Linked DNA regions of Arabidopsis thaliana. The protein of the gene in region 1 interacts with the protein of each later gene in a biochemical or structural test. Each region holds a gene or a part of one and is shown in the gene's direction. Other genes may lie near its edges.

What was found.
Region 2: the proteins of BZIP61 (region 1) and AT2G41090 form a complex in vitro, tested with the Arabidopsis thaliana proteins (one large-scale study listed by BioGRID).
Region 3: of the proteins of BZIP61 (region 1) and MPK4, one has a biochemical effect on the other in vitro, tested with the Arabidopsis thaliana proteins (one large-scale study listed by BioGRID).
Region 4: the proteins of BZIP61 (region 1) and CAM8 form a complex in vitro, tested with the Arabidopsis thaliana proteins (one large-scale study listed by BioGRID).

The regions. Positions count from the first base shown.
Region 1 is NC_003074.8:21,520,276-21,525,877, reverse strand, and holds BZIP61 (Basic-leucine zipper (bZIP) transcription factor family protein), read left to right. Parts: upstream 1-2,359; 5' UTR 2,360-2,799; coding exon 2,800-3,422; intron 3,423-3,589; coding exon 3,590-3,680; intron 3,681-3,785; coding exon 3,786-3,912; coding exon of another isoform or gene 3,913-3,929; exon of another isoform or gene 3,930-4,212; intron 4,213-4,440; coding exon 4,441-4,589; 3' UTR 4,590-4,904; downstream 4,905-5,602. UniProt on the Arabidopsis thaliana protein: Transcriptional activator.
Region 2 is NC_003071.7:17,133,036-17,137,645, forward strand, and holds AT2G41090 (Calcium-binding EF-hand family protein), read left to right. Parts: upstream 1-2,311; 5' UTR 2,312-2,787; coding exon 2,788-2,863; intron 2,864-2,966; coding exon 2,967-3,327; intron 3,328-3,444; coding exon 3,445-3,583; 3' UTR 3,584-3,964; downstream 3,965-4,610. Other genes in the region: AT2G41080 (pentatricopeptide (PPR) repeat protein), read left to right, coding at 1-1,519; AT2G41082 (uncharacterized protein), read left to right, coding at 1,790-1,894.
Region 3 is NC_003075.7:564,632-570,918, forward strand, and holds MPK4 (MAP kinase 4), read left to right. Parts: upstream 1-2,285; 5' UTR 2,286-2,587; coding exon 2,588-2,760; intron 2,761-2,891; coding exon 2,892-3,021; intron 3,022-3,089; coding exon 3,090-3,227; intron 3,228-3,416; coding exon 3,417-3,749; intron 3,750-3,829; coding exon 3,830-4,013; intron 4,014-4,085; coding exon 4,086-4,258; 3' UTR 4,259-4,516; coding exon of another isoform or gene 4,517-4,933; 3' UTR 4,934-5,091; coding exon of another isoform or gene 5,092-5,235; 3' UTR 5,236-5,373; coding exon of another isoform or gene 5,374-5,445; 3' UTR 5,446-5,610; downstream 5,611-6,287. Other genes in the region: BPS3 (BPS1-like protein), read left to right, coding at 516-1,562; AT4G01380 (plastocyanin-like domain-containing protein), read right to left, coding at 4,517-4,933, 5,092-5,235, 5,374-5,445; AT4G01390 (TRAF-like family protein), read right to left, coding at 5,611-5,759, 5,843-6,009, 6,098-6,287. UniProt on the Arabidopsis thaliana protein: The ANPs-MKK6-MPK4 module is involved in the regulation of plant cytokinesis during meiosis and mitosis. Essential to promote the progression of cytokinesis and for cellularization (formation of the cell plate) during male-specific meiosis.
Region 4 is NC_003075.7:8,395,407-8,400,726, forward strand, and holds CAM8 (calmodulin 8), read left to right. Parts: upstream 1-2,305; 5' UTR 2,306-2,393; coding exon 2,394-2,472; exon of another isoform or gene 2,473-2,556; coding exon of another isoform or gene 2,557-2,581; coding exon 2,582-2,739; intron 2,740-3,160; coding exon 3,161-3,241; coding exon of another isoform or gene 3,242-3,289; exon of another isoform or gene 3,290-3,299; intron 3,300-4,452; coding exon 4,453-4,590; 3' UTR 4,591-4,820; downstream 4,821-5,320.

The DNA.
Region 1 (5,602 bases):
ATCTTTAGCTTATATATATATTTTATTTTTTCAATTATCTCATATTTTACGCAATTGTTTTTATTTATTTAAGAGTGCTAGAAAAATAAGTATTTGTAAATCGTATAACAATAATAATATTTAAAAACAAACGTTACGTACGGACCACAATATGCATATATGTACATATGCACATGTGAAGCAGAATTGGGTGGATTGAGAATGAGAGGAGAAGCACATGGAAGTACACTTGCATGAACATGTTTGTATTCATAGGCAACCACTTTCAATTTTATATAATGACTAGTTTGCAAACATTATTACCCTTCCTTTTTGTTTTTGGTATATCAAAACATTACTCCTCCTACTAGATGATTTCTTTTATATATTGTGTACTTTCTACAGTATTTTTGTTTACCGGAAAATTCTCTCTTTTTTATAAGAAAACTTTTTCCGGACCAAACATGGTTTTTTGTCTTTTGATACGAAGTTTCCTCTTCAAGTGGAACTTGAATTCGGGTTAACCCACACTTGACTAACAAAAATAACAATTCTATTTCTCTATATGGCTCAGTTATTAGCTTTTTTTGGCTTTCCATTTTCACCTTTTAATTTGAACTGAAATATTTGATACCACACTAAAATATCTCTCTTTAACTAACCATATGGTTATATACTACACTTTGCAACTAATTGATAACTATATTTATTTTAGTAGTTTTATTTTCGTTGTACCAAAGCCGTCCAATACTAATTGATTAAACTGTTATTTCAGTTTCTATAAGTTCTCGTTGAATCCCTTAAACTTGTAGCTTTTTTATTTGTTTTTGCCGGGCTTGTTGTAGAAATTTCGAAGATTGGTCTTATGTAGAAAATTAAAGAGAATATTCTTAGAGTACTTTGTTAGAGGACCACCATTGATGTTTGGATTGTTTGTAGTAAATATTGTATTAAATTGAATTGTATATTTTAAATAAATAGTGAAACAATAGACAGTTCACAGTTGGAACATAAACTAAGAAATAATTTCATACGTTCTAATATATATATGCATACAATTTTGTTTTAACGTAACTACTTGTATTTTAACATATATACATAATAGCAAAAATATTCTTAATCAAACCAAACTTGTCTTACATATTTTTTATTTTGTCATCTCATTAATCTATTTTTGAAAAGTTTGTATTTGTGAGATTTCTATATATTTTTATGGATATACAAAGTGAATTTAATCCAATAAATGATCTTCTGTTATAAAAACAATGAATCAAATGGATTGGCCTACATGAAGCTTTGGTTTGGGGACAAAGAAAATATAGAGAGGGAAAGGTCTCACAAGTCACAAAATATTATACAAAAAAATAAAAACAAAGCACATGTTCTGACACATGAACATGGTTCCTTCTTCACTTCTCCTTTTCTTTCTAACAGCTCATTTCTCTCTATCTCTCCACTCTTCCACTACTCTCAGCCTCCCACTCAATTCATTCTTCTCTTTCCCTTGCATTTTATAATGCTTTTTGCCTTTTTTTCCCTTATATTAGCATTGCATTGTCATAAATTCCTATGTATATGTTACAACTGATGATTGATTTTCTTGTTCTTTAATTGTTTATAGTATATATATAGAGCTAGGGAGCTAATTTATGTATATATGTATAGACATGGCTTCTCTATAAGCTTAATTGTACATGTGAAGGACAGAAAGAGAAGTGTATTAATTGTATTGGACTATTCTTTCTTTGTCATTTGATAAAGTGGCCACTCTTATGCTATCTACTCATTAATGTCCATACACACTGACTCCTAAACTTACGTATGATGATCTTTGCATTTACATGTATAGTAATCCTGCATGCGTTAAACTAGTTAAACAAGAGTAAAAAAGTTGTGTCTGCTAGACAATGACTCAAATGATAACATTTTAACCAAAACATTTGCTCACCTCCATAAGAAGTTGAATGTTTCGATAAAGCTTATATAGGTTAAATCTTAAAAAGTTAGAAACTAGACTTAATTACAAGTGTTTCTTGAATCGATTAGTGGTATATATACATAACATTCATATGATTTCCATATAATTTAAAAAGAGGAAATACGAGAGGGCATCCGGTAGCATCTGCCCAAGTGTCAGCTCGCCGGACGGCCAGAAAACAAGGCGGGGGAAATGATCAAACGGCGGAGAAAGGAGGAGAGAAAGGCGGGAGCATGTGGAAGAGCAAAACATAAGAATGTTTCCAAAGGATAAATAATATCATACACTGTTTTGAAAAGAAAAAGTCTCTCTAATAAAATAAGTTTAGCAAAACAAAATTAAGGGAGAGGGGTTCACTAAGAGCACGTGCTGCCTGATTCTCCATTTGCTCTTAAGAGAGACCTCAAATCTTTTTAATTTTTCTTCCGAAACAGCTGTTTCATAGCTGTCCGATCTCTCTCGCCCCCCATGTGACCCCACTCAGAGATATAAACCCTTTGAGATCGAATCCATTTATATAATTTTATTTCGCTTTATTCTATTATAAAAATTATCTTATCTCATGCATCCCTCTCTCTTTCTATCTCTTACTTCTGTTTTGTATAACTACTCTTTGTTATACATAGCCATTTTAGTTACTCTGGTTTGTTTCTCATCCCATTCTCTCTCTCTTTCTCTAATGGTTCTTAATCTGTTTTAGCATTTTGATCATCTAAAACTTTCAATTTCTCTCTTGATCCTCACTTGAATTTTTTGTTGTTTCTCTCAAATCTTTGATCCTTTCCTTTGTTTTTCATTTGACCTCTTACAAAAAAATCTGGTGTGCCATTAAATCTTTATTAATGGCACAACTTCCTCCGAAAATCCCAACCATGACGACGCCAAATTGGCCTGACTTCTCCTCCCAGAAACTCCCTTCCATAGCCGCAACGGCGGCAGCCGCAGCAACCGCTGGACCTCAACAACAAAACCCTTCATGGATGGATGAGTTTCTCGACTTCTCAGCGACTCGCCGTGGGACTCACCGTCGTTCTATAAGCGACTCCATTGCTTTCCTTGAACCACCTTCCTCCGGCGTCGGAAACCACCACTTCGATAGGTTTGACGACGAGCAATTCATGTCCATGTTCAACGACGACGTACACAACAATAACCACAATCATCATCATCATCACAGCATCAACGGCAATGTGGGTCCCACGCGTTCATCCTCCAACACCTCCACGCCGTCCGATCATAATAGCCTTAGCGACGACGACAACAACAAAGAAGCACCACCGTCCGATCATGATCATCACATGGACAATAATGTAGCCAATCAAAACAACGCCGCCGGTAACAATTACAACGAATCAGACGAGGTCCAAAGCCAGTGCAAGACGGAGCCACAAGATGGTCCGTCGGCGAATCAAAACTCCGGTGGAAGCTCCGGTAATCGTATTCACGACCCTAAAAGGGTAAAAAGGTAATTAACATTTTTATTTACTATTTCCCAAAACCCCAAGGAAGGTCATGCATGCACGTACAGTTTATAATAGTATCTGATAATTCGATACACCGTTTTTATAAAATAGTTAAATTAGTGTCACATCGATAAAATCTAATTTTTGTTTTTGCTGAAATTTTCTACAGAATTTTAGCAAATAGGCAATCAGCACAGAGATCAAGGGTGAGGAAATTGCAATACATATCAGAGCTTGAAAGGAGCGTTACTTCATTGCAGGTAATTAATTTACACACAAAGATATACTATGTTTATTAATGTAAAACAATCTAAATAAAAAGTTTAAATACTGATCAACAAATCATTTAAAATTGTGGAATGAAGACTGAAGTGTCAGTGTTATCGCCAAGAGTTGCGTTTTTGGATCATCAGCGATTGCTTCTCAACGTCGACAATAGTGCTATCAAGCAACGAATCGCAGCTTTAGCACAAGATAAGATTTTCAAAGACGGTAATTTTCTATTTTGAACTTTTTTTCAATTTTCTAACATTGTATAAAATTCTTCTGAATATATTTTTCAGGGATACTATCAAACTATAGAAATTTGTTTGTTTTTTTTTACTATTATTGTCTGAAGTTTCACTAGCTCCATGTATTTAATAGTCACTGACAATATATAGGCTCGACCAATAATTATTCTTTAGTAATATAAACTATATACAAGGAAGTACTTGCGGCAATGCATGCTTCATGATTCATAAAATTACAAACATGAAATATATATTGTCCTGCTTGAATAGATTTAGTAAGGTTTATATATATCTATAGCTAATTATTTTATAACATGGATCTAGCTAGTAATAATGAATCACAAGATCAATAGAGTTTAGTATGATTAATAAGTTAGAACAACTGTCCATGTGTGAACATATATATGAGATAAGTATAGATATTTATGTTAACATGAAACATGTGAGTACTCATTGAATATTTAGGTTTATTGACAACACTGATAATTGTAAATTTTAATATTTTCAGCTCATCAAGAAGCATTGAAGAGAGAAATAGAGAGACTTCGACAAGTATATCATCAACAAAGCCTCAAGAAGATGGAGAATAATGTCTCCGATCAATCTCCGGCCGATATCAAACCGTCCGTTGAGAAGGAACAGCTCCTCAATGTCTAAAGCTGTTCGTTCACTAAGATCTTTCTTTTCATGGCGAAAAGATTCTTGACTATAAAACCTCTTTGTGTCAAGAAATTAATTTATCAAAGAAGATGGCCTTTTTTATTTGATCTAATCACATTTTTTTAAGTTGTGATGAATTTGCTTTTGATGTATCTGTTTTTTTTTTTTTTTCTTATGGAGTGGGAGGGGGAAAGTGGGAATGATATGTAAAAAGAACTTAGCTGATTTGTTGTTTATTCAATTTTTTTGTTGGAGTGTCTATGCATTGTGTACTAATTGATATTTTTTCCGAATGATTTTTTTTTCCATCAAATTTAGGGTAATCGAATAGTTAAAGATTCCCTCTTTTCACATGGTTCAAATTTTGATGTGTGCCATCATCCATATAATAAACAAATATAACAATTTATATACTTGTTTAACTTCTAGTGACAAAAAGAACAGGATTTGTGAACCATGAAATGTTAACACATAGTTTCAAAATTTATATTTGAAGTGACTGAAAGCGATTTCTCATTCCTTAAAAACTCGTACGATTATTTCATTGTTAAGAAAAAATCAATTAATTATGATGATTTAATAATATTTTAACCTCAGGTTTTTTTCATTTTTTGTCCTTCGAAAAAATCAAGTGAAAATGTAAGGTATTACTAGCTAATGTAGCCACTTCCTTACGTAGGGCCTGGACATTTAGATGATGTCATATAGAATCTAGATGATATATCAATATATACATATATCAACGAATACAAACACATCACGAATGTCATACATTGTATAATTACAGACAAAGAAAACAAGATTAGTGAGTTTTATTTTCTTATGAATCAAACCTTTATGAGTAATTAGGGTCAAAGTGGGTCAAAATCTGAAAATGTGGGGTGAAAAAAGGGAAAGAAAAGGGAGAACGTGGAGACATCTGAAGGCTAAGCTGTAAGTTCACGTGCTATGTTCTTTGGCCTGGACCACTACGGTCTCGTTGCTACATGATTGGCTTTGTTTCCTCTTCT
Region 2 (4,610 bases), on another chromosome or scaffold:
TGCTATGATTGCTGGTTTGATCCAGTTTGAGTTTAACGAAGAGGGTTTGAGTTTGTTTAGGGAAATGCACGGATTGGGGTTTTCGCCTGATGAATATACTCTTGGTAGTGTTTTTAGCGGATCTGCTGGGTTGAGGTCAGTGTCTATAGGGCAGCAGATTCATGGCTACACGATCAAATATGGGCTTGAGTTGGATTTAGTTGTTAATAGTTCGTTGGCTCATATGTATATGAGAAATGGGAAATTGCAAGATGGCGAGATTGTTATAAGATCAATGCCGGTTCGTAATTTGGTTGCATGGAATACACTCATCATGGGGAACGCGCAAAACGGATGTCCTGAAACCGTGCTTTATCTGTATAAGATGATGAAAATCTCAGGTTGTAGGCCGAACAAGATCACATTTGTAACTGTGCTCAGTTCTTGTTCTGACTTAGCGATAAGAGGTCAAGGTCAGCAGATTCATGCGGAAGCTATTAAAATTGGGGCTAGCTCTGTCGTAGCTGTAGTTAGTTCATTGATCAGTATGTATTCAAAATGTGGGTGTCTTGGAGATGCAGCTAAAGCTTTCTCGGAACGTGAAGATGAAGATGAAGTGATGTGGAGCTCAATGATTTCTGCTTATGGGTTTCATGGACAAGGCGATGAGGCAATCGAGCTGTTTAATACTATGGCAGAGCAGACGAACATGGAGATAAACGAGGTCGCGTTTCTGAATTTACTTTATGCGTGTAGTCATTCTGGCTTAAAAGACAAAGGGCTTGAGTTGTTTGACATGATGGTGGAAAAATACGGGTTCAAGCCAGGTTTAAAGCACTACACTTGTGTGGTGGATTTGCTCGGTCGAGCAGGCTGTTTGGATCAAGCCGAGGCAATAATAAGGTCTATGCCAATAAAAACAGACATTGTTATATGGAAAACATTGTTATCTGCGTGTAACATACACAAAAACGCAGAAATGGCACAGAGAGTCTTTAAAGAGATTCTTCAGATTGACCCTAATGACTCTGCTTGTTACGTCCTGCTTGCAAATGTTCACGCCTCAGCTAAGAGATGGCGCGATGTATCAGAGGTGAGAAAATCGATGAGAGATAAGAATGTGAAGAAAGAAGCGGGAATCAGCTGGTTTGAACACAAAGGTGAAGTTCATCAGTTTAAGATGGGAGATCGCTCTCAGTCTAAATCTAAAGAGATCTATTCATACCTGAAAGAACTGACTCTGGAGATGAAGCTGAAGGGATACAAGCCTGATACAGCGTCAGTATTGCATGATATGGATGAGGAGGAGAAAGAATCAGACTTGGTGCAGCACAGCGAGAAACTAGCGGTTGCATTTGCGCTCATGATATTACCTGAAGGTGCACCGATTAGAATAATCAAGAACTTGCGGGTTTGCAGTGATTGCCATGTTGCTTTCAAATATATATCGGTGATCAAGAACCGAGAGATCACGTTAAGAGATGGTAGTAGATTCCATCATTTCATTAACGGAAAGTGTTCTTGCGGCGATTATTGGTAGCTGGGCAGTTAAAGTATGCTATGACTCTCTGCTTCAGAGTCTTTCTGGAGTCTTAAGCACTCAGATTGGATCGGGAAGCCATCTGGGACGAAAGCATTCAGCAGCAAGGGTAAAATTACACTGCGGGTAGTAGCTTTGTAGTCTACCTTGAGATTGCTCCTGCCTGTGTTATTCTTGAGTCAGGAACATGAAGTGGTTTGCTGTCAACTTTACTTACTCAAGCCATCTCCGCAAGGTAGAAACTATGGTTCGCGTTATTTCGTATGTACCATGTTTTTGGTCGTTTGTGTAGTTTCTAACCTTCCACACCCTTGGCTTGCGATTCTTTCCAAAGCAGAGATGTTAGATCAGAGGATGGAGTGGGTTCTCAAGTAGAATGCACTTGCGAATCCCTCAGATCAGATTTTTCATAGGTAAAGTTCGTTAACTTCAACAACACCACTTTAGTAAACATGTGATAATCAATCGTCATAAGCATCTTCGATTCATTTTTATCTTATGCAAGTGTTTGCTTTATTATGATTTGTTAAGTTTTGCATAAATACGGACGTTGAAGCACTTCCCAGAACTCATGAGTGTTTTTATAAACTATTTATTAAAAGTTAGTATAAGAAAACTATAACATAAAAGTAAAATATAATTTAGACAAATGTAGCGATTGGTCCAGTTACTCATCCAAAATTCCAAATGAATCTTCCACCGTTGATAATTCTATTCCATTGTTTTCTTCTGTAGAAGACCATATATTATTAAGTCTCTAGTCCATTGTCAATAAATGGAAATACAAAAAAAAAAAAAAAAAAAAAAAGAAGAAGAAGAAAAAGACAGCATTTAATGAACGAAAATAATATTAATGAATTTGGAAGAAGGAACGAACCAACGAGAAAAATCAACGAAATAATTTAGACAAATGTAGCGATTGGTCCACTACCCATCCAAAAGTCCAAATGAATACTTCACCGTTGATAATTCTATTCAATTGTTTTCTTCTGTAGAAGACCATATATTATTAAGTCTCTAGTCCATTGTAAATAAATGTTTCTTTCAAATAAATGGAAATACAAAAAAGAAAAGAAAAAAAAGACAGCATTTAATGATGATAACGATTTGGAAGAAGGAACCAACCAATTAGAGTAACAAACCAAGGAGGCGACTCACATGAAAGCAAAAGCTGACATGGCAGTGAATTCAGTTTTATAAAAAAGGCTTCAAGGCCGAGAGTTCGTAGTACAAACTCTTCTCTCAGTCATCACAGAAAATAAAAAACAATGGCGAATAAGTTCACTAGACAACAGATTTCAGAGTTTAGGGAACAGTTCAGCGTATACGACAAGAATGGTGATGGTATGGTTCATCGTCTCTATTCCTCTAATCGTACATATTGGATCCTGAATCATCTTCAAAGCACTGAAAATGACTAACACAAGTCCTTGATTACTTCTTGTAGGTCACATTACCACAGAGGAGTTCGGTGCCGTGATGCGTTCCCTCGGTTTAAACCTGACCCAAGCTGAGCTTCAGGAGGAGATCAACGATTCGGATTTAGATGGTGACGGAACCATCAATTTCACTGAGTTCTTGTGCGCAATGGCTAAGGACACTTACTCTGAGAAAGACCTCAAGAAAGATTTCAGACTCTTTGACATAGACAAGAATGGTTTCATCTCAGCTGCTGAAATGAGATATGTGAGGACTATCCTCCGGTGGAAGCAAACTGATGAAGAAATCGATGAGATTATCAAGGCAGCTGATGTTGATGGTGATGGTCAGATCAACTACAGAGAGTTTGCCAGGCTTATGATGGCCAAGTGAGATTTAAACAACTTTTCCGCTTCCCCTTTTTTTACTACCTCTTATCTAATTTCATAAAGAATGTTCCTCTCTTGTTCTTAAATTTCATTCTGAGTTCTTGTGTGTATGGCTAGGAATCAAGGTCATGATACTAAATATGACACAACTGGTGGCACTTTGGAGAGGGACTTGGCGGCCGGGGTTGCCAAAAATATCATCGCAGCGCCAATGACCGACTTCATCAAAAATTTGTTCGAAGCGTTGTTTTCTTGAAATGGTACATCAGTAACTTTATGCCATTAGGGTCTGGCTGGTATGTTAGATCTCTCTAAAAAGGCGTTTGATCTTTGAAAATAATTTCTATGTAATAAATTTATTGTGTTACCATCTTTTCTTGCATGCAATTTATTAAAATGAGTTTGTAATATGGTTTCAGTATCGAATATAATTGGGGTATCAATGTATCTTTTGAGAAAAACATTTAAAACGTAGCAGAACTAATTATTGAAAACTGGTAGCATTACTAAAAATTGATCTAAATCGGTTAATGATTTGGCACATACAGTGATCAAATCAGCTAAGCCTCATATCTCACCGTCCCAGAGTTCTTCAAGACTCTTATAAGGACTCATCTAATGAATAATGACATGCCTCGCACCAACCTGCCCTGCAACATTGAAAACACACGTCTACAATTTCGATAACCCAAGTGTTTTGAGCAAAACAAAGGACGCCCTTTGACCCATTTGGACTACAATGTGTGGAAAATTACTGCATGTTCAATATCAGAAAACTTGGATAACATGTCTTCGATATGGGCTTTTCTTATTTTGTACCCGTGTAATTTCGCTGGCCCAAAATCCAAAGCAACAAGGGTAAATTTGTATGCAGTACATGTGGCATGTTGGGTCATATGGAAACAGGTCACAAGACTCAGATTCTTTACATTGCGGCGGGTAGTAGTAGCTTTCTAGTCTACCTTGAGATTGCCCCTGCCCGTGATTCTTGAGTCGGGCACAGGAAGTGGTTTTCTGTCAACTTTACTTGCTCAAGCCATCCCCGCAAGGTAGAAACTTCTGTGGTCTTTCTCGTTATTTCTTATGTACCATGTTTTTGGTCGTTTGTGTAGTTTCTTCTAACCTTCCACACACTTGTCTTGCGAATTCCTTCCACAGCAGAGATGTTAAATCAGGAATATTCAGGATGTAGAAACTTCTCTGCTCTTTCTCAAGTAGAATGCACTTGTGGAATCCCTCAGATCAGATTTCATTGGTAACGTTCGTTAACTTCAACAACAACA
Region 3 (6,287 bases), on another chromosome or scaffold:
GCTGACAAATGTCAACGATTGAGTGGAAAAATCTACTATAACTGAGACATCAGAACCGTAAACGTGTGTATTTGTCTCTATTCTTCGTCACTGCCGCGTAGGTGAAACGGAAAAATCCTTTACAACTACCAAAACCAACGCGGGACTTAAAGTAGCGATTGCGTTGATCTGCAGCACACGGCACGTTTCTTTGATTCCTCCCTATAAGAACGCGTTTCAAGTTTTATTATCATACACTAAACCCATCTCCTATTTATACTTTCTTTTGGGTTTTTTTCTCTCCTTCATTGAAGTAGCGTAACATTGAAGTAAGCGGTAACATTTCGGAAGAATCTCTTTCTTTAGGTGAGTTTTCGTTAATCTTCGGCGAGTTTGGTTAAAGTAATGGTTTTTGTTCTGTCTTTGCATTCTTGAGATCTATTGATTCGGATTTTGGATTCAGAACAATGTTATTGGTTTGCTCATTGTTTCAGATTACTAACTTTGTTTCTTCTTTCTGTGTGTTTTCAGTTGATATGAGCCAACAACGTACACGCTCTCGGAACCCGTTCAAGATTCTGTTTACGAAGAAGAACAATGCTCGATTATCGCCAAAGCTTCTCTCACTGTTGAACAATTTCGAGACTAACTTGACGGTATCGATTAGAGAACTTGTACCAAAGGATAAGAATGATATCGTTAGTGTTTCTTGGATGATACAAGCCATGCAGTCTCTTTGTGAGACACACAAGAGTATCAGGACGCTCGTGAAGGATTTAGAGGTTCCAGTATCGGATTTGGAGGAGAATTTCATTTATATCTTCTCTGACTTTAGCTTGAAGCGGGAACTCTGCAACGCCTTTACCTCAGAGATATATCATTTGGAACATGGCAATCTATTACTAAAGTTTGCTTTTAGTAAGCTGGAGACAAACAGTGGCAATATTCTTCAGCGTTGGAATCAGCACATGGTTTCCAAGAACCCGAGTATCGAAAACTGGGGCGCGGTTTTGAGTAGGCTGGTTGAATCGATGGATCATCATCATCATATCTCCAAGAAGGGGAAGAAGAAATACTCTGCGGAAGGAAAAGTTCTCTTACGAGTTTTATACGGTGTAAAGGTCAAGACTTTATACATATTCAGCGTGTTTGATGCATCGTTCTCGGGTTCTTCCAAGAATCTCTTCTATCTAACCATTCCAAAGGAGATGGAGGAGCTTCCATGGGTTCAAGCTTTCATGGAACTGCAGAACACTATTAACCCGGAGATCAAAAACACATTTTTATCAGACGGATTCACGGTTATAAAAGATCTCGAGGCTGTTGAAACCGGTGTGAAGAAGCTTTACACAGCGGTACAAGAAGGGTCGGTTCCTATTTTGTTAGTGGAACCATTGGAGAAGTCAGTGATAGAACTTTCGGAAAGGTTTGAGCTAGTCTCCAAGGAAACACGTTGCTTGTCGAAGATGGTGATCTCTGCCCGAGACGCATTGTTGGAGAGCCTGTGGACGAAATGCGCAGAAGAGCTAGGAGTGACATTGCCAACGATGGTTAAAAGTGTTAATATAGAGGAAAAGAGCTAAGACTTGTTTGTGAATATAGAGGAAACATGTAATTATGGTATCGTTGATGTTAAGTAATAACAAATGCAGATAAAAATGAGACTTTAAAACGCTTCAAATATTGATAACTCTCTCTTTTCAATCGGTGCTAAGCTATAACTACATTTTCAAGTTAGTCAGAATTGTGCTTTAGTTCATCTTAGTTGATAATGGATAAGTGATGGGTTTGCTTGAGGCCCATTGTAAATCACTAGACCAAAAAAAATCAGTGTTATTTTCATGGTTACATGATCAATCAATCAAAGCAAACCAGATATTCTAGCTATTAATAATAACAAATGCACCAAACTTCAACATGGTTATATAAGTTGTTTAACCATGATTTTTTAAAAAAAATCAAAATGATGTCATTTTATCTTATACATAAACCTTTTTTCACTAATGGTTTTGGAATCAAAGGTCAGTTTTATGGTCAAAAACAATTTGGCCGCCCATTGACTTGTACACCACCAATATACCAAGTCGTACTTAAATTCTTATTGGAGAAAAGTTGTCATCTAGATTCTTTTAAACTTTATAATATGATATCAAGAACATTCCTACATGAAGTCATTAACTTGTTCCATTCTACAAACTTCATCAATTACATTTTTTCGGCAAAAGTCATAACCATATCTAATCTCTACTTCGTGGGATAACGCGATTTAGTAGAAGCAAACTCCAGTAAACAAAACTTAACCAATTGACTAAAAACACTTACCCGTTCCTCAATTACTTAGAGACACAATCATCGGATATACCCAACTCGATACCATAAACAAAATTGAAAATTGACATTACAAAGAAAAAGAACAAAAACCAAAGAAGAAGACGCAAACCCGGTTTAAGGGTCACGGGTGACTCGAGAGGAGACTTCCTCTTTACCGTTCAATAAAAAAAAAAGGGTAAAGGTAGAGACTTTATAACGAAATGTCAACACCCATCTTCTCGATTCCTCAATTTCTCTAGGGTTCTTCGTTTTCGTTGTTGTGAGGAATTTTGCTCCGATGTCGGCGGAGAGTTGTTTCGGAAGCTCGGGTGATCAAAGCAGCAGCAAAGGAGTGGCTACTCATGGTGGTAGCTATGTTCAGTATAATGTCTATGGCAATCTCTTCGAAGTTTCTAGAAAGTATGTTCCTCCTCTTCGTCCTATCGGTAGAGGCGCTTATGGAATTGTCTGGTGAGTTCCAAAATTAATCAGATTGGGTTTTTGAAACATGTAATGTTCACTTCTGGGGTTCTTAGATTTGGGAATTAGGGTTTTGGAATCTGTTGTTATTATAATAACTTGTGTTGATAATTGTTGATCAGTGCTGCTACAAACTCAGAGACTGGAGAGGAGGTAGCTATCAAGAAGATTGGTAATGCTTTTGACAATATTATCGATGCTAAAAGGACTTTGAGAGAGATTAAGCTTCTCAAGCATATGGATCATGAAAATGTACGTGTTACTAATCATCAGCATCTCTGGTTTTTTTTGTGTGAATCTTATATTGGTTTATTGTGCAGGTGATTGCTGTAAAGGATATAATAAAACCACCGCAGAGAGAGAACTTCAATGATGTTTACATTGTTTATGAGCTTATGGACACTGATCTCCACCAAATTATTCGCTCTAACCAACCCTTAACTGATGATCATTGTCGGGTATGCATCAATCTCCATCTTGCTTATATCTAGCAGCTGAATCTTCTGTTTCTACTTTAGAAGCAGCTGTTATTGTGTTAGAGCATCTGATGAGTATTGCTTGATACTTTATAAGTGAGAGCTAATAAGGATTTCGTTTGTTATGCTTTGAAGTTGTGTTTAGTAATTAGTTTCGATTATGTTTTGCAGTTTTTTCTGTATCAGTTGTTGCGTGGGCTCAAATATGTTCATTCAGCTAATGTATTGCATCGAGATTTGAAACCTAGCAATTTGCTCCTGAATGCAAATTGTGATCTAAAGCTTGGGGATTTCGGGCTTGCGAGGACCAAATCCGAGACTGACTTTATGACTGAATATGTTGTTACACGTTGGTATCGAGCTCCAGAGCTGCTACTTAATTGCTCTGAATACACAGCAGCAATTGATATTTGGTCTGTCGGTTGTATACTCGGTGAAACAATGACACGAGAGCCCTTGTTTCCCGGTAAAGATTATGTTCATCAGCTTAGACTCATCACTGAGGTAATCTAGTTTAGTATGTTTCATCCAAAGAATCACCACTTAGTCTCTCTTCACGGTATTAATGAATCTTTGGAAAGCAGCTTATAGGATCTCCTGATGACTCAAGCTTGGGATTCTTAAGAAGTGACAATGCAAGAAGATACGTTAGACAGCTTCCACAGTACCCTAGACAGAACTTTGCTGCTAGATTCCCAAACATGTCGGCTGGTGCAGTCGATTTGCTGGAGAAAATGCTTGTTTTTGATCCAAGCAGACGCATCACAGGTGAGTTATATTTTATATAACTGCTTCTCTGTTTCTTCGGCTATTTTCTGAACATGTTTTTTGTGTGTGTAGTTGATGAGGCGTTGTGCCACCCATATTTGGCGCCGCTGCATGATATCAACGAAGAACCGGTATGTGTGAGGCCGTTCAATTTTGATTTCGAGCAACCTACTTTGACAGAAGAGAACATTAAGGAGCTTATATACCGTGAAACAGTCAAGTTCAATCCTCAAGACTCAGTGTGAGAGAAAGAGAGAGAGATATATATCCTTAAAAGGAAACTCATCAAAATGCTATGTTTTGTTTTGCTCTGCTTTTGTTATCAAATCTCTGATAAGTTTGATAATATGTCTGTAATTTGAATAACATCCTAAAAAATTGGAAAAAAAGAAAAGAACAACCTTTGAGCTGTGTTTTGCAATAGAGTGTATTTAAATTTCCTTACTTTTTAGTCGAAAGAAAATACAGAGAAGTCTTAACTCTAATTACATCCACTAATTATCTTAATGATGGGGTTGAGGTCCGAAGGTGCGTAACCATCTGTTGAAGCGGTCCATAAGTGACAACTCTATCTTCTTCGTCGGAACATTGGGGACAGGTACGGCTTTGGTGAGTGGTCCGACCACGACTCGTAGCTTAAGCCCAGCGTAACAGTGACCTGGAGTCTTAGAGCTAATGAAATAATGGACTCCTGGTTCTGTGAGCGTGACGAGATCGTGGCCTGTCATGTGCACGGCTACGGGAGAAATCGGGTAGCAGGATATGAATTCAAGGTCCCCGCTGATCTCTAAGACGTCGTTGACTTCGTTGTCGTATTCGAAAAGAAGACTGTCTCCGATCGGAAACTGCGTCTTCTCACTCCATCTGTAATAAAAGTAACTTTCTTGCGGAACACTCCATCCCTTGGAGCCACACCAACTCTGTAGATATTTCAAGGAGGAAGGATCTTGCTCGGTGGTGTTGGAGGAATGGGACGTGACGAGTCATGAACGACAAGAATGTCGAGCTTCTGTCCCGATGCGCATTGAGCATGGTTTGAGCTGATGAACTAGTGAAAACCTGGTTCCGTGAGGGTTACGATATCGTGTCCAGGGTTGTAGACGGCTTTAGGAGAAGAAGAGTCGCAGAACTCGTATTCCAAAGCGCCGGAGACTTGAGTGACGTCGTTGAGGTTGTGATTGTGTTCGAAGATCAAAGAATCCCCAACGTGGAACACAAGTTTCTTTTGGCAAACAAATTATGTCTTTTCTTTTGGCGTTTTTCTCATATATATAGGTAGTAAAAGCAATGGAATGCTCACGATTCCTTGAAAAAAAAACAAGATCTTATTTGCAAAACAAAACTAACAAGAAACAATAACGATTGAGAACCAAGTCTCTATAGTTGATAAACTGGGCTTATGAAATCTTGTAGATTGTCTTGTTATGCCCATAAACTGAAAATACACGCCAAGCACATCATCTTCATCTCCAGCAACACGTACGTCGACACACATCACAAGTCATTACGGCATCAGTAGCTTAGTTACATAATAGTACTATATATATTCTCCAGCATTTTATTCATACGTTATAAATATTTCTTGCTGATTATATAGCTAACAGTAATTAGAGACGGAAATGACATCAAAGTCAACTCCCACATAAAGCTTATCCTTCACCAAATAAGGGTCATCAAGTTCCCCTAGAGGCATGAAATCCGCAAAGCCATGGCGGTCATCAGGTTCTGCACCAAGCCAACCCGAAACTATACGTACCAGGAGAAAAAGATTAGTACTGTATTTAACCATCATGCATCACAAGACTTTCCAAAACATAATAAACACATACTTGTTTTCTCAACATGATTCCTGCTAACTTGATCCAATACACGCAGCTTGAACCTCGCGTAAGTTTTAGTCTTTGGTGCATTATTGACAAACCCTAGTGCCGATAGATACACAGAAAATGATTTGTCTTTTTCACCCATAGACCCTCTTGGATGAACTTTAATTCTCCTGATCAAATATATTGTGATGCATTTTTATTAGTATTATATATAAGTTGTGTTATGTTTTTGGGAAAAAGGAGGAATATAATATCAACCATTTCCGGGTTCCAACGACAAATTCATTAGACTGATGAACGTTTCCAGGGTTGAAGGACGAGAACATGGTCATCATCCAAGTGACTCTGTGATTAAGAGGCTTCTCTATTAAGCTAAAACTTTCCGCTGTTCCGGGTTTAGCAGGTTCAATCCCATGGAACTTGACACCAAACATACAACAATCTCCAA
Region 4 (5,320 bases), on another chromosome or scaffold:
GAACCAGATGACCGTTGCTTCCACTTTTGTTTCTTGGGCTTGGTTTGTGCTGAGGCCCATCAGTTTCATTTTCCTCTTTACTCCATTAGCCGAAAGGACAACGTACTTCGTTGTCTAAATATTTTGTTGTAATTGCAATGACATAAAACAAATATTCGTTAATTTCCCTATGTTAATTCTTTTAATTAAAGGGGTCAAAAAAGTATTACTAAAGTGAGCTATTTAAGGTTGCAAATATATTTTATCTATATTTTAACCTGAATTATTTTCCCACCTAGGAAGAGTAAAAATGCAAAGATTACTAATGAAGAAAAGCCCCATAATTTTGTTTTTTTTTTTGTTTTTACAATTCGTTTCTAGAAACTCAAAATATGAAAAGTTGAATCGTTTCAAAAAGAAATTGCTGGTTCGTTAATTTGCTACGTCTAATCGTTTATTTATAATTATTTTCTTATATCGTGCTTATGAACTTATAATGCAACGTATGATACATGCATTTCCCCTACTGTTCGAATACCAATTGCAGATTCAATGCAAGTCAGCAAGTATCTCCTAAATTATTTCTTAGCAGTAGATATTCTTCTTAATGATTACAATCTTTTAGCAGTAGATATTCTTCTCAATTATGATATGTGACGTGGAATATATATTTTCATCTGTTATATAAAAACAGTCGCAATTATTCAAACAAAATGTATAGGAAAATAAATAAGTGGTGTGAATATGTGATTCAAATGAATCTGTAATATTCTCAAAATTCCTACCTCCGTGAATTCTAGAAAATGTCGTCGATCGGAACAAATTTGAAAATAGAATGATTTGTGTGGATAAACTTTTAAATCATTGTGTGGGAACGCACGGATTCTACAAAATCATGCTGGCCAAGTTAAGCTTCATAGCCTTAATGCATTCACAGCTATGGACAGTCGAGTTGTACGTTAATATGTCTTCTATGGACAGGAGCGGGTAAGATGGCCAATGAGGTCATTATGTTGAGATGTACGTAGACAAATTTCAATGTTGTTCTTTCTGAGTATTAAAAGAGTGTGATCACTGATTTTGAAGTCAGAAAAAACAAAAGAACATGTTTAAAGCGTCAAGTTTATCGCATCGTCTCGGTTCTCAGATTGTGTATTTGGTAGCTGCGGTGGTGGCTAAATTGCGGTCTCTTTTGTTGACATCACTTGTATTTCTTGACTAGTTATTTGTGCTACCTGGTTTTGAATGTGTCTTGCTAGTGCGGTTCTTCATAATTGAAGTTAGTGCTGCAATGAGTTATCACCTCTTGTTGCGTTTGTTTTGTGTTCTAGAAGAGTTAGTAAGATCGATGGTGTTCGATGTGGTTATGAATCGCATAAATCATGCTCTGCTCTATCCGACTTTGGGGAAAGAAATTGGTAGATGGAGCTTGCATCGTTCGCATAATTTGGTTCTTGAGGTTCCATATTATTGGAAAGCTTATGGACTTGAACAACGAGTCACTGTCACATGACGCGAGAGGAGTTTATGCCAGAGAACTTTGAGTTTCTACCGTTGACGGCTCATCCTTAGACCTCCAATTCAAAGTTTTTAATGCAAATAGTTTAGCATTATGCTTTTTTCAAGCAGTAGTTACCCTTCTTCTTAAAAAAACAAAAAACAAAAAACTTAATTATAAGATAAAATTTCAAAATAGTCATATTTTTATCTAACTCGTTCGGCTTCAACGCTTTGGTTGAGTTGATTGACCAAAACTTGTGAATCACGATGTATGCTTCTATGTTTTATTTTTCTTGTTATAGGATCATTTGTATAGGCTTAAAATCTTTTGATTGTAAATTTATATTTTTATCATTTCAATAAAATATTTTTATTTTTATTTAAGAAAAAACAGAAAAAAACAAAAAACAAAAGAACATAATTGTTGCGTACAAAATGAGTGGCTAATGGGTTTGAACTAGACAGAAAAAGTTAGGGACGTTTTATCAAAGACTATTGTAGGCTTATACTTGTTTGTTTTAGGACTTGTCGTTCTATGTCTATTTGTAGTAGTCTCTACTTGTTAGAATAAGATGATTTTTTCAAAACTAATTTTGCACAAGTGATTTGAACTTTAACAAACAGCGACAATTATTAATTTATTATATGGGATTCAGCCATGTGACTAGAATTAAATTGTTCAATCCAAGAGTTCTAGACCCAAAAAAAAAACAGTACTGCCCTTTCAATTTAAAATAATTTGAGAATCAATTAAAGAGCTTAAAGTAGTTGAAAAGTACATAAGTCCAATGTAGAAAAGGTCTTGTCACAACTCTACATATAGACCATAAATCAGAGATTTAAGCACTTCAAACCTTGAGCTCCCTCCTCTCTCTCTCTCTCTCTCTTTGTCTTCAAAATATTCTCAGAAAACAATGGAAGAAACAGCACTGACAAAAGATCAGATCACTGAGTTCAAAGAAGCCTTTTGTCTCTTCGACAAAGACGGCGACGGTTCTCTTCCTTTCTCTAGATGGTCATATATAGAATAAAGATAATAAAGACGACGACTAATATTATGTTGTGTGACATTTATTTATGGTTGTTTGGAATCCTTTAATAGGTTGTATAACGGTGGAAGAACTTGCAACAGTGATCCGTTCGTTGGATCAGAATCCGACAGAACAAGAACTTCATGATATCATCACTGAGATTGATTCTGATAGCAACGGCACCATTGAATTTGCTGAGTTTCTCAACCTCATGGCCAAAAAACTTCAGGTTCCACTCTCTCTTGATCTCTCATGCTTATTTATTTCACAACTAATTACATCAAGTTAACGTAGCCACGTACAAACCAAAAAGTTACATCAAGTGAAATTTTTTTGTCTATATGATTTCTTATATATTATGTTATAGGTCCCTTATTGTAACTCTTTGATATGGGATCCTAACAGGTTCTAGTCAAAATGGAGCTGTCTCATTCATTATGCTTCTAGTTTATTAAAAACTCTTAAGAAATATATTGGAAATATTCAGCTTTTGTATTACAGCAAAATCTGTTTTGCTTTCGGTTTTTCACTACGAATAAATCTGATTTGTGAAGAACTAGACACGTAAATGTGTATAATGTAAACAAAGACTTTTATGACAATAGTTTTTTTGTATGTTAAGTTGTTGTCATGATCATGTGATGGTTTAGGAAAGTGATGCGGAGGAAGAGCTGAAAGAAGCATTCAAAGTCTTTGACAAAGACCAAAATGGATACATCTCTGCCAGTGAGGTCCGTGACTCTTACTCTCTTTTTTTTCTCTCTTTATTACTAATTTGATATATGTGTCAATGTGTATATTTAGTTAGATATATGCTTGACTTATTGAGAACTTAAAAGGGAACTTATGCGGAAAATCCTCTTTAAGAACTTATAAAAACAAATTAGTTCGATGCACTGGATTGCGTTTTGTACAACGTTCTCCAATAATACCATGTACGGTCTAACTGTGTTTTTATTTGGTTATAAATGATTAGAGCTATAATTATTTAGATTTTTGTATCTACTAGAAATCCTTATCTAAATTTTGGTTATTGTCAAATTTAGTTTAGGTACATGAACCAATTTCATAAATGTCTTCTTTGCTTAAGTGGTACATGCTCTATATCTCTAAAGTGTCGTCAAATACAGGCTAAGCACAATAATTATGAGCATAGTATTTTTATGTAACCACTTGGACCAATTAATTCTGCATTAACTAGAAAAAACGAGAAATCCAGCTAAAACACACTTTCACATATGTAGAATCAATGACAAATATCAGACAACAAAGCCAGACGATCTTCCAATTTAAAGAGATCCATAGTTGTCTCATTTATGTTCTAAAACATTTTTTAACAAGACATGGCCATTTATTTATTTGATTTTATATTTTCGAAAGTCTGTTTTCCATCGTGAGGGCTTAGAGCTAGCTGGCATTGTGAATCTTTAGAGAATAACGAAGAGGAACAAAAGAAATTTTAATACAAAGTAGTTAGATAGAGTAAAATGCGTTTGATTTTATTGGTTTATTTGACAGGAGGGCACATGTTTCACCTAGTTTAATTAAATATATATACCTTTCTTTACATCCTCAAAAGTTACATTAATGCAGACACCTTTTTGCATGCAACACAATTCAATTTATTAATTTGGGGTTTTCTATATCGATTGGTCAAAACTTAGGCTAAAACCAGCTGTATTTTGCTTACAACTTAAAAAAAAAAAAACTAAACAATTGTATGAATTTGGTTTATTCATATTTTTCGTACCGAAATTAGAAATTGTTCAAGTTAGGCCGTTTGACCTACTATATTGTATTGCATATTCAAATGGATAATAAACAATTATTATTCTCTGTACAGGGTCAGACCCGTCTGATTAACATGCACAACTTAATTTACAATAATTAGACTAACAATTACGTTAATTATTTATTAATTTGAAAAGCTTTGTTATTGCAGTTGAGTCATGTAATGATAAATCTAGGAGAAAAGCTAACAGATGAAGAAGTTGAACAAATGATAAAGGAGGCAGATTTGGATGGTGATGGCCAAGTCAATTATGATGAATTTGTCAAGATGATGATCAACATTGACTGATTACTTTTTCTAAATCTATTTATTATATAAGCCAATGATCCTTAATTACCTTGTTAGTTGTTACTACTTCGTGTTCACACCATCTCAACAAATTCTCCATTATTCCACATTCATTGAAATTTTCAGATCCAGTTTTGTTTTATCACTTGTGAAGCTGTCAAATCCAATATAATCTCTATATTATAGCTTTCTCTATATGATTTTGGAATTCTGTTTATACATAGTTTGTTTCTATATTATAGCTTTTTCGATATGATATTTTTCTTCTTCTTGCAATCTTTGATTATAGGTGTTTCAATATGATTTTGGAATTATATTTAGCGAATGAATACGAAACACAATTTTTTTTGTGGAAAATGCAAAAAATCTTAAAACAAAGCAGCATATTGAGTTTATGTGAATGCTAAAGTATTTGGATATTATTTTCCTCATGAAAGTGAGGAGTTGAACTCCTTCACTCAAACGAAAATATCTAATGGCTAAACCACTAGTCTAGACACTTTAAAGAATAATTGAAAATGATTTATGTAAAAAAAAAGAAAAGTGAGACTGTGAGAAAGCCATGCCCATATAATATTTAGTAAGAAAATAATAATAAAATTACAGGTAGTAAAAAAATTTCCACACTTTATCAAAAACCCCTCAAACAGAAAATCCCAATTTAAGTATACAGAAAAGAGAAAACCCAATCCACACTTTCACTTATTTCCTCCCAATTTCTCAGAATAAT